Linked DNA regions of Macaca fascicularis. The protein of the gene in region 1 interacts with the protein of each later gene in a pairwise test. Links are inferred from orthologs where the notes say so. Each region holds a gene or a part of one and is shown in the gene's direction. Other genes may lie near its edges.

Region 1 (4,149 bases):
GGCATCAATTAGTATTTCTTGAATGACTGCATAAATGACAAGGGAAACTGACATACACATATTGCTGCTTAGTGCCATTTCTGTCCCACACAGAATTTTCTTTGGGGATTTAAATTATGGTCAGAAAAGTAATTTAGGCAGTCCTGTAGTTTTTGTGGTGGTGGTTGTTTGATTTGATAACCAGTGACCTTCTCTGTGGCAGTGAAACAGGGTTGTGACAGTTGGCCACAGTACCCTCCTCCCACCCACAGGGCTGATGAATACATGCATTGTGATTTTAATACTCCCCTCTTTTTTAATTAGCTTCTATTAGTTGTAGTATTAACTATTTTTGGCCTAGCTTCTTTAGTAAGAAAAGTTATTATTTTGGCTTTAATTTGCATAATTGATTTGGTATCTATGTTTGCCTTGAAGTTTCTTCCTCTGTTTCAATACAAAACTACTTGTTTAGAGGGTTTCAACATTCTTTTATAGTTTATAAAGGTAAGCATGCTGTTGATGATGTATTGTTGAATCATAATGAACAGGTGGCCTTTGAGGAAGACAAGGTCATTTGAACATCAAAAAGTAGTTTCCTTTTTGTTATCTATGGTACTGATTGATACTTTTCTCTTGAAAGTTTGTTTTCTTTGTTCGCTAATTATTAAAGTAAGTGCATAGAGCAAGGGATAATTTAAACACTAAATCCTTTGTGTCTGCATTTTGCTGCTTTGAATCTATAAGTTGGATTTATACATTTATCTTTATTTACAGAAATAAGCGGATTTTGAAAACAAAAAAAAGAAGGAGTGGAAGAGGGGGCCAGGATCCAGGCCTCCATCCCCACAGAAGTGAAGCTACAGCTGGGAGGTCTCCTCCCACCCCAACCGTCACCCTGGGTCCCGACTGCCCACCTCCTCCCCCTCCCCCTCCCCCCAACAACAACAACAACAACAACTCCAAGCACACCGGCCATAAGAGCGCGTGTGTCCCCAACATGACCGAACGAAGAAGGGATGAGCTCTCTGAAGAGATCAACAACCTAAGAGAGAAGGTCATTAAGCAGTCCGAGGAGAACAGCAACCTGCAGAACCAGGTGCAGAAGCTCACAGAGGAGAACACCACCCTTCGAGAGCAAGTGGAACCCACCCCTGAGGATGATGATGATGACATCGAGCTCCGCGGTGCTGCAGCAGCTGCTGCCCCACCCCCTCCAATAGAGGAAGAGTGCCCAGAAGACCTTCCAGAGAAGTTCGATGGCAACCCAGACATGCTGGCTCCTTTCATGGCCCAGTGCCAGATCTTCATGGAAAAGAGCACCAGAGATTTCTCAGTTGATCGTGTCCGTGTCTGTTTCGTGACAAGCATGATGACCGGCCGTGCTGCCCGCTGGGCCTCAGCAAAGCTGGAGCGCTCCCACTACCTGATGCACAACTACCCAGCTTTCATGATGGAAATGAAGCATGTCTTTGAAGACCCTCAGAGGCGAGAGGCTGCCAAACGCAAGATCAGACGCCTGCGCCAAGGCATGGGGTCTGTCATCGACTATTCCAATGCTTTCCAGATGATTGCCCAGGACCTGGATTGGAACGAGCCTGCGCTGATTGACCAGTACCACGAGGGCCTCAGCGACCACATTCAGGAGGAGCTCTCCCACCTCGAGGTCGCCAAGTCGCTGTCTGCTCTGATTGGGCAGTGCATTCACATTGAGAGAAGGCTGGCCAGGGCTGCTGCAGCTCGCAAGCCACGCTCACCACCCCGGGCGCTGGTGTTGCCTCACGTTGCAAGCCACCACCAGGTAGATCCAACCGAGCCGGTGGGAGGTGCCCGCATGCGCCTGACCCAGGAGGAAAAAGAAAGACGCAGAAAGCTGAACCTGTGCCTCTACTGTGGAACAGGAGGTCACTACGCTGACAACTGTCCTGCCAAGGCCTCGAAGTCTTCGCCGGCGGGAAACTCCCCGGCCCCGCTGTAGAGGGACCTTCAGCGACCGGGCCAGAAATAATAAGGTCCCCACAAGATGACGCCTCATCTCCACACTTGCAAGTGATGCTCCAGATTCATCTTCCGGGCAGACACACCCTGTTCGTCCGAGCCATGATCGATTCTGGTGCTTCTGGCAACTTCATTGATCACGAATACGTTGCTCAAAATGGAATTCCTCTAAGAATCAAGGACTGGCCAATACTTGTGGAAGCAATTGATGGGCGCCCCATAGCATCGGGCCCAGTTGTCCACGAAACTCACGACCTGATAGTTGACCTGGGAGATCACCGTGAAGTGCTGTCATTTGATGTGACTCAGTCTCCATTCTTCCCTGTCGTCCTAGGGGTTCGCTGGCTGAGCACACATGATCCCAACATCACATGGAGCACTCGATCTATTGTCTTTGATTCTGAATACTGCCGCTACCACTGCCGGATGTATTCTCCAATACCACCATCGCTCCCACCGCCAGCACAACAACCGCCACTCTATTATCCAGTAGATGGATACAGAGTTTACCAACCAGTGAGATATTACTATGTCCAGAATGTGTACACTCCAGTAGATGAGCACGTCTACCCAGATCACCGCCTGGTTGACCCTCACATAGAAATGATACCTGGAGCACACAGTATTCCCAGCGGACATGTGTACTCACTGTCTGAACCTGAAATGGCAGCTCTTCGAGATTTTGTGGCAAGAAATGTGAAAGATGGGCTGATTACTCCAACGATCGCACCTAATGGAGCCCAAGTTCTCCAGGTGAAGAGGGGGTGGAAACTGCAAGTTTCTTACGATTGCCGAGCTCCAAACAATTTTACTATCCAGAATCAGTATCCTCGCCTATCTATTCCAAATTTAGAAGACCAAGCGCACCTGGCAACGTACACTGAATTCGTACCTCAAATACCTGGATACCAAACGTACCCCACATATGCCGCATACCCGACCTACCCAGTAGGATTCGCCTGGTACCCAGTGGGAAGAGACGGACAAGGAAGATCACTATATGTACCTGTTATGATCACTTGGAATCCACACTGGTACCGCCAGCCTCCGGTACCACAGTACCCGCCGCCACAGCCGCCGCCTCCACCACCGCCGCCGCCGCCGCCTCCATCTTACAGTACCCTGTAAATACTTGTCATGTCCTTCAGGATCTCTGCCCTCAAAATTTATTCCTGTTCAGCTTCTCAATCAGTGACTGTGTGCTAAGTTTTAGGCTACTGTATCTTCAGGCCACCTGAGGCACATCCTCTCTGAAACGGCTGTAGAAGGTCAGGGCCACCCTGGACTGGCACACATCCTAAAGCACCAAAAGACCTTCAACATTTTCTGAGAGCAACAGAGTATTTGCCAATAAATTAGCTCTCATTTTTCCACCTTGACTGCCAATCTAACTAAAATAATTAGTAAGTTTACTTTCCAGCCAGTCCTGGAAGTCTGGGTTTTACCTGCCAAAACCTCTGTCACCATCTAAATTATAGGCTGCCAAATTTGTTCTTTAACATTTACAGAGAAGCTGATACAAATGCAGGAAATGCTGATTTCTTTATGGAGGGGGAGACAAAGAGGAGGAGGAGGACATGACTTTTCTTGCAGTTTCGGTACCCTCTTTAAATCACTGGAGGACCGAGGCCTTATTAAGGAAGCCAAAATTATCGGTGCAGTATGGAAAGGCTTCCGTGATCCTCTCGCTGCACCCTTAGAAACTTCACCGTCTTCAAACTCCATTTCTGTGGTTCTGTTAATTCTCAAGGAGCAGCAACTTGACTGGTTCTCCCAGGAGCAGGCAAAACCCTTGTAACATGAAACATCTCAGGCTTGAAAAGAAAGTGCTCTCTCAGATGGACTCTTGCATGTTAAGAGTGTGCCTTCACATCGTGGTGCAAATCACATGTACCCAGGACTCCGGCTTTGACATAACACCTTACCATCATCATGCCATAATGGCGTCCACGAAGCATTAAACCTGGTAACCAGAGATTACTGGTGGCTCCAGGGGTGTTAGATGTTCATGAAATGTGACCACATCTCAATTACCTTCGAGGGCTAAAGAATAGCAGATCAAAAGGACTCCAAAATCCCGTACCCAACTCTTAAAAGATTTGTCCTGGTACTTCAGAAAGAATTTTCATGAGTGTTGTTAATTGGCTGGAAAAGCACCAGCTGACGTTTTAGAAG
Region 2 (4,149 bases), on another chromosome or scaffold:
CCCAGGCTGGTAACACCATTAGAGAAGCAGGAAATCATAGCAGCAGCAGCCAGCACCACACACCACCACCGTATTACAGCAGACCAAGCTCACATAAGGTGAGGATTTTTTTTTTATGCCACCATCAAAGGATCATCGTTACAAGCTGGCAAGATTTCAATGAAGGTTTTTTGTGTGTCAGTCATACCTCAATAAAGTAGTTTTTTAAAAAAAGATTCAAATGAGGGTTGTTATTCTGTTGAAAAATATAGTTGTTTGGAATGTGAAATGTATATGTTTTGCTACCTTGGAGAGTGACTGCGTTGTTCCTTAGAACTAGAGATAGTTGCTTGGAGGGGAAGTTTCCTTTGCCAGGTGATAAACGAGAAGCATGAAATCTTCTACTTGTTTAATCCTACTTGAAAGTGGAATTTATCTTGGGTTGCTTATTTAAATGTAAGAGTTAGTTATTGAAAAAACATAATGAAGACAAGATTGATAAATGTATACTTGGTAATTGAGCCTGTTGCCTACAGAACCAGAATTAGATACGTGAAGATTAAACATATGAATCATGAATTTTGATAGGTACATATATAGCATATTTACATATTTGATAGGTACATATATAGCATATTTCTTTTTATGTTAAAGCTTAGAGGAATATTACCCTAAATCTTTTAAAATTCCCATATGTTAAGCTTTGTTACTGTTTCTTCAGAATCAGTATTTCCCTGGTTTTATAATGTATTCTACGTCAGCTGAGAATTTTGATGCTACCTCACTTTCAATCCAGAAATCTAAAAGGATGGTACTTTAGCATTCTTGGTATAATTTACTTCATTTGATCCTTCATTTGAACTCTTAACTTCCAGTGGGCCAGGAGTTTTAAAACAATGATGCGAATGATGCTTACCCAATTATGTGAAAATAAAAGCTAAATGTGAGCTACCAGAGTAATTCTCCTTAAGTAAAATTAAATTGCTTTACTAAGCAAAAACTTTTTTATTGTCACCTGAAAGTACAACATTTGAGTGAGTAATTAGCTTTGGAGTCCGTCTCTGGTACCCTAAGAAAGCATAGCTTAAAGACAGTATTTTTGGCCCATCAGGTTTATATGGTTTTCTTTTTTTTTTTTTTTTTTTTTTTGAGACGGAGTCTCGCTCTGTCACCCAGGCTGGAGTGCAGTGGCCGGATCTCACCTCACTGCAAGGTCTGCCTCCCGGGTTTACGCCATTCTCCTGGCTCAGCCTCCAAGTAGCTGGGACTACAGGCGCCCGCCACCACGCCCGGCTAGTTTTTTGTATTTTTTAGTAGAGACGGGTTTCACCATGTTAGCCAGGATGGTCTCGATCTCCTGACCTTGTGATCTACCCGTCTCAGCCTCCCAAAGTGCTGGGATTACAGGCTTGAGCCACCGCATCCGGCCAGGTTTATATGGTTTTCTGAGCTTAAGTTCTATACAGACTTGTCACTGGTCTTTGGTTTAGTTAATACTTAAAAGAAATTATAATCACAGACTTCATTCTCATTTCTGAGCAAAACTCAAAATGTATGAAGGAAACCTGTAATTTGCCTTTAAATAATGACTGTGGAAATGGAGTAATTGTTTTAAATAGGAATTTTTGAATAGGCATTGTTTCATATACCTAGTCCTTGTTTTATAAGTTTTGTGTACATATAAAACTATAATATGAGGTACAAGTTGGTAATTGAATCTTTTATGTTATTGAATTTTATAATTTGAGATATGGGTATATATAACAATATTACAGTTTTAAGAGAGTTTGAAAAACTGTAATTAATAATTCCAGTATTCATATAGCAAACTGTCCTTAATTCAGTTTGTTTTGGGCACATGTATTTTTCTGTTATAACTAGGCTAATTCTGATTCTCTTTAATTTTATATGACGATGTTCTAAATAGTGATGCTGAACTTAATCTGTTCTAGGCACTCTGCAAACCTGGCTGGTTAGAAAAACCACTTGAAATGGAATGTGTTTATTTAGCTATTTACTACTAACATGCTCTGCTTGTTATGTCAAATCCTGATACAGCATAGTAAAAGTCTCCTAGGGAGAAAACATGCAAATTCACCAGAACAATCTTTTCAGACAATTATAAGCATTCTGAAAAAAATATAGTATATATGTTAGTCTACTACAAAGCTTCCCAGTAGCTGTTTTGATAAACATTCATGTAGTTTTAGGAAGTTCCTTGAAGCATACTGAGTATAATCTTTGAAGTTTGGTTTGGTTCCTGGGTAAAAATTGCATACATTTCAGACACTTAGAGTAATAAAACACCCACACTTAACTGCTTAAATATGTAAGAACTGAACCTGCTTAAATAAATATACTCAAGGTTGAGTTTACCTGAGTTGTCTTCAGAATAAAGTTGTGTTTGTCTAATTTTGAAGGCTGCTGACAAAAATGTCATACCTTTGGATAGGAGACTGCCTTAAAATGTTTACAAATTTTCTCCTTGGTCATAACATTTTCTGGGAATACTGTGCTGCTATTACAGATAGCTCCTTTGGTAAAATTTCAAGAGTATAATTTCACATCTGGAGAAGGGTAGATAGGCCTAGAATTCCAGGCCCTGATTTAGAGATTTGATAAACGCCGTTATTAACAGTTAAATACATGTCAATTCTCTAAACTAATGTGACTTAAGGAAATGTTATAATTCTGTAAATATAATTTGTATTTTTTATTTTTTATATTAACGGTGTTAATTACAACATTCTCTTAACAGTTAATAAGTGTTAAAACCTTCTGAGACATTATCTTGCACTGTACACTTAATGGGATAGTTCTTGTGTGGGTGCATATATACAATATGTACATGTAGTCTATCACACTATATAGACATATACAAAATACTATTTATATTAATATATATCGTACATACTTTTAACACACGTAAGTTTTGAATCCCAGGACGGTTGCCTATATTAACATGATTCAGGACAAGTTACATGACCTCCCTAAGTTTGTTTCATCTTTTGTCAAATGGGGTCAATAATAATATATAATTTCAGGACTTTTGTGAAGTTTAAAGGAAATAATGCATGTAAAGGCATTAGCTTTTCACAGGCTAAGCCCAAATGTTAATTATTATTTTAATATTGCGTATGTACATCTTATTTTTTACTGAGTTCTAATTCAAAAGAAAAGTGATGTTTTAAATTCTTTTTCTTCCAGGAGCATCTCAATAATAAACAGTAGTAACAAATGTCAGTAAAAATGGAAGAATATTAATTTGTTGGGAATTTATTTCCCTGTCATTAACTTTTTCAAAAATTCAGTCATTTTGTATCCCTTTAGCTTTTCATGAAGATTTTGGAGGTAGATTTGCAACTTCTTCATGATTTGAGCACTCATAGTCCTAGTCAGTGAGAATCAGGAGATAGGTCGATGGCCTTTTTCTGGCAGTTGCCAAAATCTGTACTTTCGTGCTACTCTGTCAACTTGTCTTTCAAAGAAATGGGAGAAAGATGGAAGTAAAATTAATTGATTTGTCTTCAGAATCTTAAAACTCAAAAGCATCATTTACTTTAGTGCAGCTGATCAAAGATGAAGCTCAAACAAATTATACAAATGATGTGCTTATTTTACTTTGACTGCCAGATTTCAGCAGTCCTGAGTTTTTTCAGGTACATAAACAGTCATATGAAAATAACATAGTCCAAAATTTGACATTGATCCACAGTAGACTTATTAAGAACTGTATATTACTTTCATTTGCAATTAAGGAATAAAAAATAATTACTGTATAAATGCCATGTATGTTATTACCTTAGTTTGAAGTAATAACTTCACTTCAACTATATTTTATTCATTATCCAATGATTTTTTTCTTGTGTGTTTTAGGATCTTACTCAGTGTGTTACATGCCAAGAAAAACACATTACTGTAAAGAAGGAACCACATGAGTCCCTTGGCATGACCGTTGCTGGGGGCAGGGGAAGTAAGAGTGGTGAGCTGCCCATCTTTGTGACCAGTGTGCCGCCCCATGGCTGCCTTGCACGAGATGGCAGAATAAAGAGAGGTAAGATGGGATCTTTAAAAATGTTACCACATCTTATTTCTGAATTAAATGCACATTTAAAAAAATAAAGAGCATCTACAAAGTATCTATTAAACATGACTTTTTAAAATCCTTTA
Region 3 (3,538 bases), on another chromosome or scaffold:
GCCTCAGTGTGTGTTGTTTCCCTCTATGTGTCTTGTTCTTGATCTAAGAGTGAAAAGCATTCAGGCTTTCACCTTCCAGTATGACAGCTGTAGGATTTTTGTAGATGCTCTTCATCAGATTTAGGAGTTCCCTTTTAAGTTTGATGAGAGTTTTTAATGGGAACCATATGACATAAATCTTTGCTCTAGGAATTTGCTCTAGAAAAATGAAAATCTGTGCTCACACAAAAATCTGTACGTAAATGCTTATAGCTGATTCATTTGTAATTTCCAAAACCTGTAAATGTGCCAAATATCTTCCAACAAATGAATGGATCACCAAATTTGTATATCCATGCTATGGCAGACAGATTCTAAGGTGGCCCCCAACATCCCAATATCCTGGTCATACCTTTCAGTGTAGGTGGGGACTATGGCTTGCTTCTAACCAAGAGAATGTGGCAAAGGTGATGAACTCCCATGATTATGTTAGTTTATACATGACTCCATCTTTCAAGGAGAAACATTCTCCCTTTGTTCCATGAAGAAACAAGCTGCAGTGTAGTGAACTGCCTAGAGACAGGGCAACGTGACAGAGAACTGAGGGCAGCTTTTATAACAAATTAAGAGATTTCTTAATATTTAACTCTCCTTACATTAACTGCTTGTGGTATATTATTCTTTTTAAAAATTTATTTTCTAATTTTTGTGGGTACATGATAGGTATATGTATTTATGGGGTACGTGAAATGCTTTAATATAGGTATACAATGCATAATAATCACATAATGGTAAATGGGGCATCCATCCCCTCAAGCACTTATCCTTTGTGCTACAAACAATCCAATTACACTCTTTCAGTTATTTTTAAATGTACAATTAAATTATTTTGACTGTAGTCATCCTGTTGTGCTATCAAATACTAGGTCCTAATAATCACATCATGGAGAATGGAGTATCCATCCCTCAAGCGTGGTGCATTACTCTTTGAACATGCTGCTCTGGATTATATTTGCTAATATGTGGGGCTTCTCTATTAATGTTGCAAAGTAGGGAGCCAATAATCTGGTTGAGAGACGCAAGAAGGAGCAGGAAAATGTGTTCACAGAACCTCATACTAGTGGCGTCCAGGGTCAAGGCTCCCCGAATGCATACCCAAGGGCTGATGAGAGGTGGGGACCAGTGCAGCGGGAGGACTCCTCAACTACCAGAACTAGGTAGGGCCCCTAACATACCCTTGGAGCGAGCTCCTCGCGCCCCGTACACCACCAGGTCTCCCTGGTTCCTCCCCTGCTCCCCGTCCCGCCACCTTAGGAACCCTCAGCCCAGCCTCTCCGATAGGACCCTGCCTCCTTGAGGGCTTTAGGCCCTTCTTCGCAAGTGTGTTCCCCACGACGCGCCTGCGTACTAGGGAACACCCGGCCTTGTGGGCGGAGTCCATGAGAGGGCTGGAGCCCCGCTCGTGGCCCCGCCCACCCTAGCTTGGGCAGGCCTTCGTGGACACGCATTTCCGGCGACGCCTCGGTACTGACCTCTGCAGAGCCGGGTGGAGCCCATTGACGTCCAGCGAAGCGAAGAGCAGCGATGGACGGTCGGGTGCAGCTGATAAAGGCCCTCCTGGCCTTGCCGATCCGACCTGCGACGCGTCGCTGGAGGAACCCGATTCCCTTTCCCGAGACGTTTGATGGCGATACCGACCGGCTCCCGGAGTTCATCGTGCAGACGGGCTCCTACATGTTCGTGGACGAGAACACATTCTCCAGCGACGCCCTGAAGGTGACGTTCCTCATCACCCGCCTCACGGGGCCCGCCCTGCAGTGGGTGATCCCCTACATCAAGAAGGAGAGCCCCCTCCTCAATGATTACCGGGGCTTCCTGGCCGAGATGAAGCGGGTCTTTGGATGGGAGGAGGACGAGGACTTTTAGGCCGGGAGACCCTCGAGCCTGGGGGCGGGTGCTCTGGGGAGGGTCCGCTGTGCTACTGGCCGCCGCCAGGGTCGCCACAGGCGCCCTCCCTCCGCACCTCCCTCCCCCTCGAGCCGCCGCGATGTCCCCTGAGCTCCTGTCCCCTCCCGCGTAGTGCTTGCCTTTGTTCCAGGAATAGCGTTCCAGGCTCCTGCTGCCGCCCCTGGGCCTCACTCTGGAGCGAGCCGCCGCCCTCTCCTTCCAGCCAGCCAGCCCCTCCCATGCACATTTGGACGCTGTCCTGCGCTCCAGCTGCAAGCTGGGCTCCTGTTACACACTGGACAGACCACCCACTGCCGCCGCTGCCAAGCCCCCTCCTCCCCACCAGACTGCCAGACGACTACATCATTCTGCCCACAGACCTGCGCTGCCACTGCCATCGCCATCCATCGCATCCCACTGACAGACTGCTGCTCCTAGTGATCTGGACTCACCTCGGAGGTATCTGGGCTGGCCACAGTCCTTGGACAGTGATCCAGACAGCTGGCCCCCCAAGGGATCTGTCACCTTCAGCGAGACCTATTTCCTCCCCACCCCCAGAAACCTCTTGTGTTCCAGCCTAGACCCAGGTGTGCCTGGCAGCCAAATCGAGTCTCTCATTTTCTCTTGTGGACCAGTTAGTTTTGCCTATAACCCAGTTTTCTGAGTTTGCAACTGTCTCTCTGATGTGTGCCTTTTGTTCAACACAGTAACCCCTGCATTCTGCTCTGCTCTAATACACTACCTGGAGAAAGTCTTTTCCTTATTTTCAATAAATGTCAGACATTATTGAAAAGAAATGGTCTCAGTCAATATGGCACTTTTCCCTCCCTGGTTCTGTAAATGGGGTCCATATCTTGTTCAAAAACTATATGTCCTGCCACGCTATGGTTGATGTTGACACAGAGTCCTGTGGTGTCCTGCAAATGGAGATCCCACCGGTGACTAATCCCAGACGATTAATGTTGTAAACAAGTCAAGTTTTGTGCCCCTTAGGAAATGAACCTTAATCTGACTGTGGCCAAGATAAGATAAGGAATAGTCAGATAGGGTGCTTTTTCTTCCCTCTTTTCCAAAAAACTGTCTGAAAGCATATACCCCAAATGGTTACAAGCCATGCATCTCACACATTTGTTGGTGAACAATTCTTACAGTTTTATTTAATGCATTATCAGGGAACCAGCAAAATGGCTTAGATACTTCAGAAAAAGCATTTACATTTATATTGCTTTAATTGGGTAGGTGGTGGAGAAAGGAATGCAGAACTGTAGTTAATTTAGGTACAAACTTGTTTAATGAATGACCTGAAACACAATACAATTACCACCTTCCCTAATGGGCAGAAAAAAAAAAAATTCTCTTCAACGTATCTCTGCATGCGAATCTTTGAAATCTACTGTGCTAACATGCCTCTGCCACCCCATCTATCTCTGGGAAAAGCTCAATATCCCAACAGAAGCAGATTATCCTAAGGTGGGCTTGTAGGGCAGCACTCAGTCAACAACTCTCTGCCTTTTTTGTTGTTGTTGTTGAGATGGAGTCTTGCTCTGTCGCCCAGGCTGGAGTGCCGTGGCATGATCTCAGCTCACTGCAACCTCTGCCTCCTGGGTTCAAG
Region 4 (4,942 bases), on another chromosome or scaffold:
CCCAACCTTACACTTAACAATTTAAAGAGTATTATTTAACACTTTGTGCAGCCACAACTTCTAATTTTTATCTCAGCATCTGCACTCTGAGATTATATTACACGCCAAACATTAATGAAGCCTCTACTCTGGGCCAGAACTTATCTAGACATTAGGGATAGACCAGATAGCAAAAGCAGTGTTTCTTTGACTTATATATTCTAAAATGGAAGCAGATGATGAGCAAAGTCCTATATACACATATGACATGGTGGCTAGTAGCACAATAAATGTTATGTAGATAAATGAAGCAGAGTAAAGGGTTACAGATTGGTGGCAGAGAACAGGGTGCTCTGATAGGTCCAGTGGTCAGAAAAGTTCTCTCTGAAAGCAGTAGGAGGAGTCAGGCAGCCAACTGGGATGACATCCTTGCAAAGGAGAAGGGATAGAAGGTGCAAAGGCTATGAAGCCAGAACTGCTTGATGGGTGTGAGAATCAGCAAGGAAGACAGTGATGAGAGCACAGCAGAAAATGGGAAGAGGCACAGGATAGAAGGAGGGGCCTTGTAGGCCTTGGCTGCAACTTTGCTCTTTATTCTGAGGTGAAACTACTGGAGGATTTTGAGCAGGGGCGTGAAGGGATCTAACTGTTTTTGTTTGTTTGTTTGTTTGTTTTTGTTTTTTTTTTTTAGAGATGGAGTCTCGCTTGGTAACCAAGGCTGGAGGAGTGCGCTGGCGCTATCTCGGCTCACTGCCACCTCCGCCTCCCGGGTTCAAGCGATTCTCCTGCCTTAGCCTCCTGAGTAGCTGGAACTACAGGCACCTGCCACCACTCCCCGCTAATATTTTGTATTTTTAGTAGAGACAGGGTTTCACCCTGTTAGCCAGGATGATCTCGATCTCCTGACTCGTGATCCGCCCTCCTTGGCCACCCAAAGTGCTAGGATTACAGGCGTGAGCCACCGCGCCCGGCCCTAATTTTTGTTTTAAAGGATTCCTGTGGCTACTCTATGGAGAATATACTATAGGAAGAAAAGAGTGAAAGCTAAGTGATTAGTTGCAGCAGTCTGGGTGAGAAAGGCTGGGGATCAGGGTGGCAGTGGTAGAAATGACAAGTCATGACTGAATTGGCAATATATTTGAAAGCAGAGCCAACAATTCCTGTCGGCTCTAGGATCAGGGATCCGTTTAAAGTAGAAAAACAAAATTATTTAAAAACACAAACATCTTAACAGTTCATTTTTAAGTACAGAATAAAACCCAGTGGCCAAAGGCACTAACAGCAGGACAAGAAATAGAGAATCAAAGATATGTGGGATGCCTGCAATTGATTATTGGATGCTCATTTTGCAAAACTTCTTTATATCCTGCTACTTAGGTTTGTTTTTTTTTGTTTGTTTGTTTTAAGGGAGTATGCCGTATTATTCCCCTACTAAAGAAGTCACTGTTTAAATACTGCCTTTTTCATGAAAGGCAGGAACCCCTGAAGGTCTTCATGATCCTAAAAGGAAGTGTGAGTCCCACAGTGCAGCCAGCAGTGTCAATACTTCTCTGAGTGAGATTTAAACAAGAAAGAAAATGTGTTAATAAAACATCACGCCAAGAGAATCTAGTGGCCACAGACCCACGAAGGAACAACTGAGTTGTGAGAGTTGCCTAGGTAGAAGGGTGGCTAATCCTTTCAGTTTGAACAAATTTGCCTTCTCTGAGACCAAACTCAGCGCTCGCCAGGTCCTCTGCTAACGCAGGCCCCACAACCAGGAGCTAGGGGAGCCTACCCCAGCCTTTAACTGCCCGCCTAGAGACCTACCACAAGCCGGTGGTTCAGCGACCCAGTGCATCCTTTTCCTGGCCACGCCCTCTTTGTCTAAACCCTTCCCATCCCGGCCACGCCCCCACGCAGCCGCGGCCCCCAGTCTGGCCACGCCCCTCCCGCGCCGCGCCGGCGCACCATCCGTCCGAATGGCCTCGTGGGCGGAGCTTGCGTAGCCTCCCGGACCCCGGCGCGCACCGCCCCCCGCCCCCAGCCCCTGGCCATCGAGCGTCTCCGTGGACACGCACTTCCTGCGAGGCCTCCGTGCGCACCTTGGCCGAGCCGAACCGAGCCGAGCCCTGTCCTTCCAGGCTGTTCGCAATGGTGGATGAGCTGGTGCTGCTGCTGCACGCGCTCCTGATGCGGCACCGCGCCCTGACCATCGAGAACAGCCAGCTCATGGAACAGCTGCGGCTGCTGGTGTGCGAGAGGGCCAGCCTGCTGCGCCAGGTACGTCCGCCGAGCTGCCCGGTGCCCTTCCCCGAAACGTTTAATGGCGAGAGCTCCCGGCTCCCCGAGTTTATCGTGCAGACAGCGTCTTACATGCTCGTGAACGAGAACCGATTCTGCAACGACGCCATGAAGGTGGCATTCCTAATCAGTCTCCTCACCGGGGAAGCCGAGGAGTGGGTGGTGCCCTACATCGAGATGGATAGCCCCATCCTAGGTGATTACCGAGCCTTCCTCGATGAGATGAAACAGTGCTTTGGCTGGGATGACGACGAAGACGACGACGACGAGGACGAAGAGGATAATTACTAGGCCCTCGGGCCTCGGGGGGAGGGCCCTGCACGCCGTCACCCCCTCCCCGCAGCCCTCACCCCGCCAGGAGCCACTGCTCTCCCCCTTGCCCTCCGGTCCCCTTCCCTACCCGCGCCCGTCTGCTCTTTCTTCATTTCTCCGTAGTGCTTGTCTTTGTTCCAGGAATAGTGCTCCAGTTACCTGCTGCTGGGGTTGGGGCTGGAGCCTCACTCACTCGGAAGTGCTTGGAAGTGTCATCTACCCTGGCCATCCCGGGGATCCCTCCCCTGCTAATCTGAACTGTGTCCTGAACCCCAGCTATTGGCCAGGCCCCTGTTACAAACTGCGCAGACCACCCATAGCCCTGCTGCTGCCACCTGCCCTGCTGCCAGGCTTACATCTGCCCAGAGAACTATGCTGCCACTTCACATCCACTCACCACATCCCACCTACAGACTACCGCCTTTCGAGATCAGGACCAACCTGGAAAATGCCAGAGTTGGCTCTGCCTCTTCGGACATTGATTTGGACAGCTCACCAACCCCTGAAGAGGCCAATCATTCAGCCTGGTTAGTTTTCTACCTACTCCGAGTGTCCTCCCCTGCCATACCAGATTGCTGCAGGGGCGCGGTGTGCCTGACAGCCAAATTGTTGATATTTCTTTTTTCCTATGCACTGGTTTTACACAGCTGTCATTTTTCTTTCAAAATTGCAGCAGTCCCACAGATGTATGCATTTGGACAAATAGTACTAAAAACAAAACAAACAAGCACTCAGCCCAGCTCCTCAATACTACCTGGAAAAAGCATTGGCATTATTTTCAATAAATATCAAGCACTAAAAAACGAAATGACTGTCTTTTAATAGTTAAGTGCTATCACTGACCTCTAGAACTGTCACTGTGACTACCGTTATTCCCATGGAAATCAGGGAATACAACCAATCCTAGGAATCCCTGCTGTCAACTCCAGGCTGCTGGGGACAGCTACCTCAGGGCTTTGTCAGGGTTCTGATGCTTCCTTCACCAACGCATTTCTTAAAGCCCTGGCAAAGGGTGTGTTCTCTGGGTCCTCCAGGGTGGCATGGGTAAGGGTTGGCTGAGCAGATGGCAAAGAGGGCAGTATTAATAATTAGACCATAACAACAGGCATAAACCAGGACATATATATGTATTGCTCCTAATTCTCTGAGCTTTTGGATTCCTTAATATTGTGCCAGGGAAGTTCTGCCCCTTAATCCTTATTGCCTATATGCAGCTGTTGAGTTCAGGCTCCAGAGAGCCAACATAGTACATTGTCACTTTCAAACTCCAAATAGCCAACATGTCACTTACAGGTGCTCTAGCTAACATTAAGTCCCAGATCCTGGGCAAGTGCATCCATAAAGATATACCCTGATCTTAACAAACATTTCATCCTCCTTGGGCAGACATCCTTAGAATTTCCACTCATAGATGTGTCCCAGATTCCTCCCTATGGAAATTAGCAAGATGCTTGGTTATCTCTTAAATCAGACTTTGTACTGCTATCTGGGGGCTATGCTGAGATCTCTGGGCCTGGAGGGTTCAGAGCAGTGAAGGGGGTGGCTGCTGAGAAGAAACTGCATACCTGTGTGAGGCCATTGCCCCAGGTTAAGTCATTGAAATGTTTAATGCAGAGCAGCTTGGTTGGGGATTTGACAGGACTACCTCTTAGAAAGGTTTAGGAGGATGTGAGGGGTTCAGAGTTCTCATTTATATCTGTCCAGATGTCCTCCCTCATTGTACCATGTCTGGAGCCAACTTCACTTTATAACCTTTAATTAATTTAGATAACACATTTCCTTACTGTTTAAGGCCTTTTGAGGCAAGATATTTCATTTGTACTGGTAAACCTCAGTGTTGATTAAATGAGATATGGGGCTTCATATTAATCACCTGATAGGTGTGGATTATATGAGATCATACCCATGCAGCATTTAGAACTTTCCCTGCTACATGGTGAGCACTCAGTAAACCATGGGCTGTTACTCCTGGGCCTGGGGACAGAATTCTCAGGAAGCAAGTCTCTGGCTCTGAGCGTGGCTTTAGTAGGAAAATGTCAGCGTAAAGAGGAGCAGAGCAGGTTCAGCGATAATGGAAATGAGAGCATGATAAGACCCCATTTACTTTTTGAAGTCTTATATGAAGCAAGAAACAAAGCTGTTTACGTGGTGAACAGGCAAAGTTCAGGGTAGGAATTATATCTCACACCTAGGATAGCTGTTTCTGGAGGGTGGGGACAGGGGTGAGTATGACTTAATAAAAGAGGCCAAGGCTTGGGTGGAAATGAGATCTGGGGCTCTTCGGGGAGCTGCTGCCTCCAAATCTGAATCAAGGAGACACCTGGTTATTTAGAATTCACTGATCACTTCTCCTAGTCTCCTTGGAAAA
Region 5 (4,605 bases), on another chromosome or scaffold:
GTCTTGATATTCGATCAGGAGACACAGGAACCAAACAAAATTTTTACACAATTCATTTTAAAATCAGAATTGTGGCAAAGGAGCAAAGAAATACAAGGCCCTATGCAGCCTGCGATAAGGGGACTTGCTCTCTTCTTTCTTCTTCTTGAAGAGGGATCTTTGCCCAGAAGAAAGTCTCTCCTTTATAAAGTCAGTTTCATTCTCCAAAGCCTGAGGGAAAAGGTCTCGCGGTCTTCCCCTGTCCCTCCAAGGAACCTCCCCTGAATACGAGTGGCAGTTAATAAGGAACCCCCGGCCGGGCGCGCTGGCTCACGCCTGTAATTCCAGCACTTTGGGAGGCCGAGGTGGGCGGATCACGAGGTCAGGAGATCGAGACCATCCTGGCTAACACAGTGAAACCCCGTCTCTACTAAAAATGCAAAAAAAAAAAAAAAAATTAGCCGGGGGTGGCGGCGGGCGCCTGTAGTCCCAGCTACTCGGGAGGCTGAGGCAGGAGAACGGCGTGAATCCGGGAGGCAGAGCTTGCAGTGAGCTGAGATCCGGCCACTGCACTCCAGACTCCGCCTCAAAAACTAACTAAATAAATAAATAAGGAACTCCCATCCCTCTCTTCAAGTCGTCTCCCTCCCTCAGGGCCCACAAAGAAGTTGCAAACGGGTTTTGTCCTCTCCTGAAGAAGTGGAAGTTCTTTTCTTCTAAGGAAGTGGCAGATCTTCCCTTCGGTGTCTTCTCCAAGGGGTCTCCCACTTTTTCCCTTCTGTGACAGCCCTTCCTTCATATCCTTCAGGGACCCCACACTCTGAAGATAGCCTTTACATCCCTAATCCCCTTTGGGAAAACCCCCTGGGGCCCAGGTACTCACAGATCTAGCCAATCCCCGAGCCCCAGGCCGCCACAGCAGCAAGAGGGCAGCCTGGCTCAGGCCTCGGTTTGGCCGCCAGACCCTCGCTGCAGCGATCGCTACCGCCATCTTGGCTAGCAACCACTCAGCGGTAGGGCACTCACGTAGGCTAGATTCGGGGCTGCCCCTTTATGTGCCTGACACAAACTCCAGCACCATCTGACAAGAAAATCACCTTCTTCCCATTCTGTTGTAGATAGAATGCACAGAGATTTGGAGAAGAAAACCTATCTACCCAAAATTTTCCCCAGTCGCCTCATTGTAGTTACTCCTGTAACAGGCAAAGAAGAGGGCAACCTGACCACGGCCTCAGGGATTTAGGGCCCGGGGGCCCAGAGTAAAACAGGTCACTGCCAAGGCCTGCCTCCTGTTCTCAACTGTCCAATGGCGTTGCCAGAGTTAGGAGGTGGGACTGGGCGGAGCCAGATTGTTGGTAAACGCTAAGCCACGTGCGGACGCCAGGACTGACGGCCGAGCCCAGCGCGTGCGCAATGGTTACGCAGAGTGTTCGCAGCGCGCGCTGCCGGGCGGAAGTGATAATCGCAGCCGCACGTGGGGTCGGCGCGATGGAGGAGGAGATGCATACTGACGCCAAAATCCGCGCTGAAATTGGAACAGGGTGCAGCCCTCGGGGTCCCGGCTGCAGCCTCCGGCACTTTGCCTGCGAACAGAACCTGCTGTCGCGGCCAGATGGCTCTGCTTCCTTCCTGCAAGGTAAGAACTTACCCAGGTCTTTTGGAGAGGGACTACCATGTACCGTGCAACGGAGTGCCCATCTCCCCATGATACCAGCTGGTAAATGTCACTCCTGCGTTGATACATGATTTCTTGTCCGATTGAATACTACTACATACGCAGGGATACATACATCTCTCCCTCACGACTAGAAAGGAGAAGATAGCTCCATCTTTGTAAATATGTCTGAGAATGACAGGCGGGGCAGACCGTCCCCGCAAGAATTGATATTTCAGAATAGGGAAAATCACCTCACCAGGGTAAATATCGCCCTTAACTAGGTTCCTCCTCCTCACCCCCGCCCCCGCCCGCCCCACACACACGCCCGCTAGGTCCTTGCATCCCGGACTGACGCAAACCTGTCAATTTGCATACTCTGGACTGTGGCGGATCTTTCACCCACGTAAATACTCCTCAAATTGAAGATAATGTCACTGCCCTGGGTTGAAAAATACATCCCCACCGCTACCTCACTGCATCTCTCCACAGGAGTAAATATCCCTAAGATTAGGGCAAGTCTTACCTATAGGGCAAATATCCCCTTCCCCTAGCTAAATAACTCTCAGAACCAGATTAACTCCAAGAATATTTCTCTTTAACGTTTGAGACAGGAGGCTGGGCACAGTGGCTCACGCCTGTAATCCCCACACTTTGGGAGGCCAAGGCGGGTGGATCACCTGAGGTCAGGAGTTCGAGACCAGCCTGGCCAACATGGCGAAACCCCGACTCTACTAAAAGTACAAAAATTAGCCAGGCATGGTGGTGGGCGCCTGTAATCCCAGCTACTGGGGAGGCTGAGGCAGGAGAATCTCTTGAACCCAGGAGGCAGAAGTTGCAGTGAGCCAAGATTGTGCCATTGTACTCCAGTGTGCACGACAAAACAAGATTCTGTCTCAAAAAAAAAAAAAAAAATTTTGAGACAGGGTCTCACGATGTTGCCCAGGTTGGTCTTGAACTCCTGGACTCAAGCAGTCCTCCTCCCAAAGTGCTCATATAGGTACCAGCCACCACGCCCAGCCCCAATACATTTTAACAAAATCTGGCTGCTGTGTTGATTGTGGGGAGTATGGGGGAAAACAGGGAGGTGATGGTGGCTCCAGCCAGAACAGGAGTAGTGGAGGTGATGAGATTCTGGATGTAGTTTGAAAGTAAAACGGACAAAACTTACCTATAGTTTGGTTTGAGTGCGAGGAAAAAGAGTCAGGCATAACTAAGGTTTCTGCCCAGATCTGTACAAGTCTGGAAATCAGGAGAGAGACCCAAGCTGGACATAGGCAATTTGGAACTCTCTGGCTGTATATATGGTATTTCAGCCTATTGACTGAACGAAGTCAGTGTAGATGGAAAAGAGGTCCCAGGACCAAGCCCTAGGCCTTCCAACTTGAGCAGTCAGGGACTTGTGACAAGCAAGCTAAAGGAGACTCAGAAGGAACGCCCAGAGACTTAGGGGGAAACCGGGAGAGGGTGGTGACCTGGGGCCAAGAGAAGAGCGTGTCTGAGATGTGAGGGCTGACAGCTGTTTCGGCCTTACTGACAGCCGGGTCAATGGAGGGTTGATCATTTGGAGGTCAGTGGTGACGATGTTGAGCTGCCGCAGTGGAGTGGTGGGGTCACAGGAAAGGAAGAATAGACAGCTGTTCAGGAGTTTTGCTGTAAGAGGATCAGATAAGTGGGGCAGGAATTGAAGATGGTTGTGGGGTCAACAGGGGAGAGAATTGCTGGAGCCACGTCTTGAAGAAGGTGAGAGGGGAGGGACTCTTGTGCTCAGGTGAAACACAGGCAGTTCATCTGGAGCCAGAGGCGAGTTCTATTTTGGTTTCTCCAGTCCTCAGGGCAGTTTTTCCTGGAACTAAGCACACCTTCCGTGTAAGGGCAAATTGGGCATCCCAGGAAATACCGCCTTAACCAGGGACCTTCCCGGACCCTCCCTCAGGCTTAGCACTTATGCTGAATTGAGATACCTCAAGTTTCTTCGAACCTAAGAATTAAGAAGGGGCCGGGCGCAGTTGCTCACATGGGTTGCTCACACCGGTAATCCAAGCACCTTGGGAGGCCGATGAGGGTAGATCACCTGAGGTCAGTAATTCTTTTTTTTTTTTTGACACAGAGTCTCGCCCTGTCACCCAGGCTAGAGTGCAGTGAAGCGATCGTGGCTCACTGCAACCTCCACCTCCCAGGTTCCAGCGATTCTTCTGCCTCAGCCTCCCGAGTAGCCAGGACCACAGGCGTGTGCTCCCACGCCCAGCTAATTTTTGTAGTTTTTAGTAGAGACGGGGTTTCACCATGTTGGCCAGACTGATCTTGAACTCCTGACCTCGTGATCCACCCGCCTCGGCCTCCCAAATTGCTGGGATTACAGGCGTGAGCCACCTCGCCCAGTCGAGGTCAGGAGTTCTGAGACCAGCCTAGCCAACATGGTGAAAACCCGTCTCTACTAAAAATACAAAAATTAGTCGGACGAGGTGGCACGCACCTATAATCTCAGCTACTCTGGAGGCTGAGGCACGAGAATCACTTGAGCCTGGGAGGCGGAGGTTGCAGTGAGCTGAGATTGCACAACTGCACTCCAGCCTCCTGGGTGACAGAGGGAAACTTTGTCTCAAAAAAGAAAATAGAGACAGGAGTCTTGCTATGTTGCTCAGGCAGGTCTCAAACTCCTGGCCTCGAGCAGTCCTCCCACCTGGGCCTCCAGAGTGCTGGGATTACAGGTGTGAGGCACCATGTCTGGCCTCAAATGTTTTGGTTTTTTTTTTTTTTTTTTTTTTTTTTTTTTTTTTTTTTTTTTTTTTTTGAGACGGAGTCTCGCTGTTATTGTCCAGGCTGGAGTGGAATGGTGCCATCTCGGCTCACTGCAACCTCCGCCTCCCCGGTTCCAGCAATTCTGCCTCGGCCTCCCGAGTAGCTGAGATTACAGGCACCCACCACCATGCCCAGCCAATTTTTGTATTTTTAGTAGAGATGGGGTTTCA

Evidence for each region.
Region 2: the proteins of PEG10 (region 1) and LNX2 interact in binary tests that used the Homo sapiens proteins (3 or more experiments, as listed by UniProt). The link is inferred for Macaca fascicularis from reciprocal best matches to the Homo sapiens genes PEG10 and LNX2.
Region 3: the proteins of PEG10 (region 1) and retrotransposon Gag-like protein 8C interact in binary tests that used the Homo sapiens proteins (3 or more experiments, as listed by UniProt). The two-hybrid records come from large-scale screens. The link is inferred for Macaca fascicularis from reciprocal best matches to the Homo sapiens genes PEG10 and RTL8C.
Region 4: the proteins of PEG10 (region 1) and LDOC1 interact in binary tests that used the Homo sapiens proteins (3 or more experiments, as listed by UniProt). The two-hybrid records come from large-scale screens. The link is inferred for Macaca fascicularis from reciprocal best matches to the Homo sapiens genes PEG10 and LDOC1.
Region 5: the proteins of PEG10 (region 1) and EXOSC5 interact in binary tests that used the Homo sapiens proteins (3 or more experiments, as listed by UniProt). The link is inferred for Macaca fascicularis from reciprocal best matches to the Homo sapiens genes PEG10 and EXOSC5.

Annotation. Positions count from the first base shown.
Region 1 is NC_088377.1:126,682,730-126,686,878, reverse strand, and holds part of PEG10 (retrotransposon-derived protein PEG10), read left to right. Parts: intron 1-753; coding exon 754-1,954; coding exon of another isoform or gene 1,955-3,102; 3' UTR 3,103-4,149.
Region 2 is NC_088391.1:7,534,415-7,538,563, reverse strand, and holds part of LNX2 (ligand of Numb protein X 2), read left to right. Parts: coding exon 1-98; intron 99-3,855; coding exon 3,856-4,033; intron 4,034-4,149.
Region 3 is NC_088395.1:141,360,679-141,364,216, forward strand, and holds retrotransposon Gag-like protein 8C, read left to right. Parts: upstream 1-1,534; 5' UTR 1,535-1,563; coding exon 1,564-1,905; coding exon of another isoform or gene 1,906-2,507; 3' UTR 2,508-2,723; downstream 2,724-3,538. Other genes in the region: CAAX box protein 1, read left to right, coding at 1,881-2,507.
Region 4 is NC_088395.1:147,494,373-147,499,314, forward strand, and holds the start of LDOC1 (protein LDOC1), read left to right. Parts: upstream 1-2,003; 5' UTR 2,004-2,112; coding exon 2,113-2,553; 3' UTR 2,554-4,942. UniProt on the Homo sapiens protein: May have an important role in the development and/or progression of some cancers.
Region 5 is NC_088393.1:48,537,581-48,542,185, reverse strand, and holds the start of EXOSC5 (exosome complex component RRP46), read left to right. Parts: upstream 1-1,402; 5' UTR 1,403-1,467; coding exon 1,468-1,615; intron 1,616-4,605. Other genes in the region: BCKDHA (2-oxoisovalerate dehydrogenase subunit alpha, mitochondrial), read right to left, coding at 863-970. UniProt on the Homo sapiens protein: Non-catalytic component of the RNA exosome complex which has 3'->5' exoribonuclease activity and participates in a multitude of cellular RNA processing and degradation events.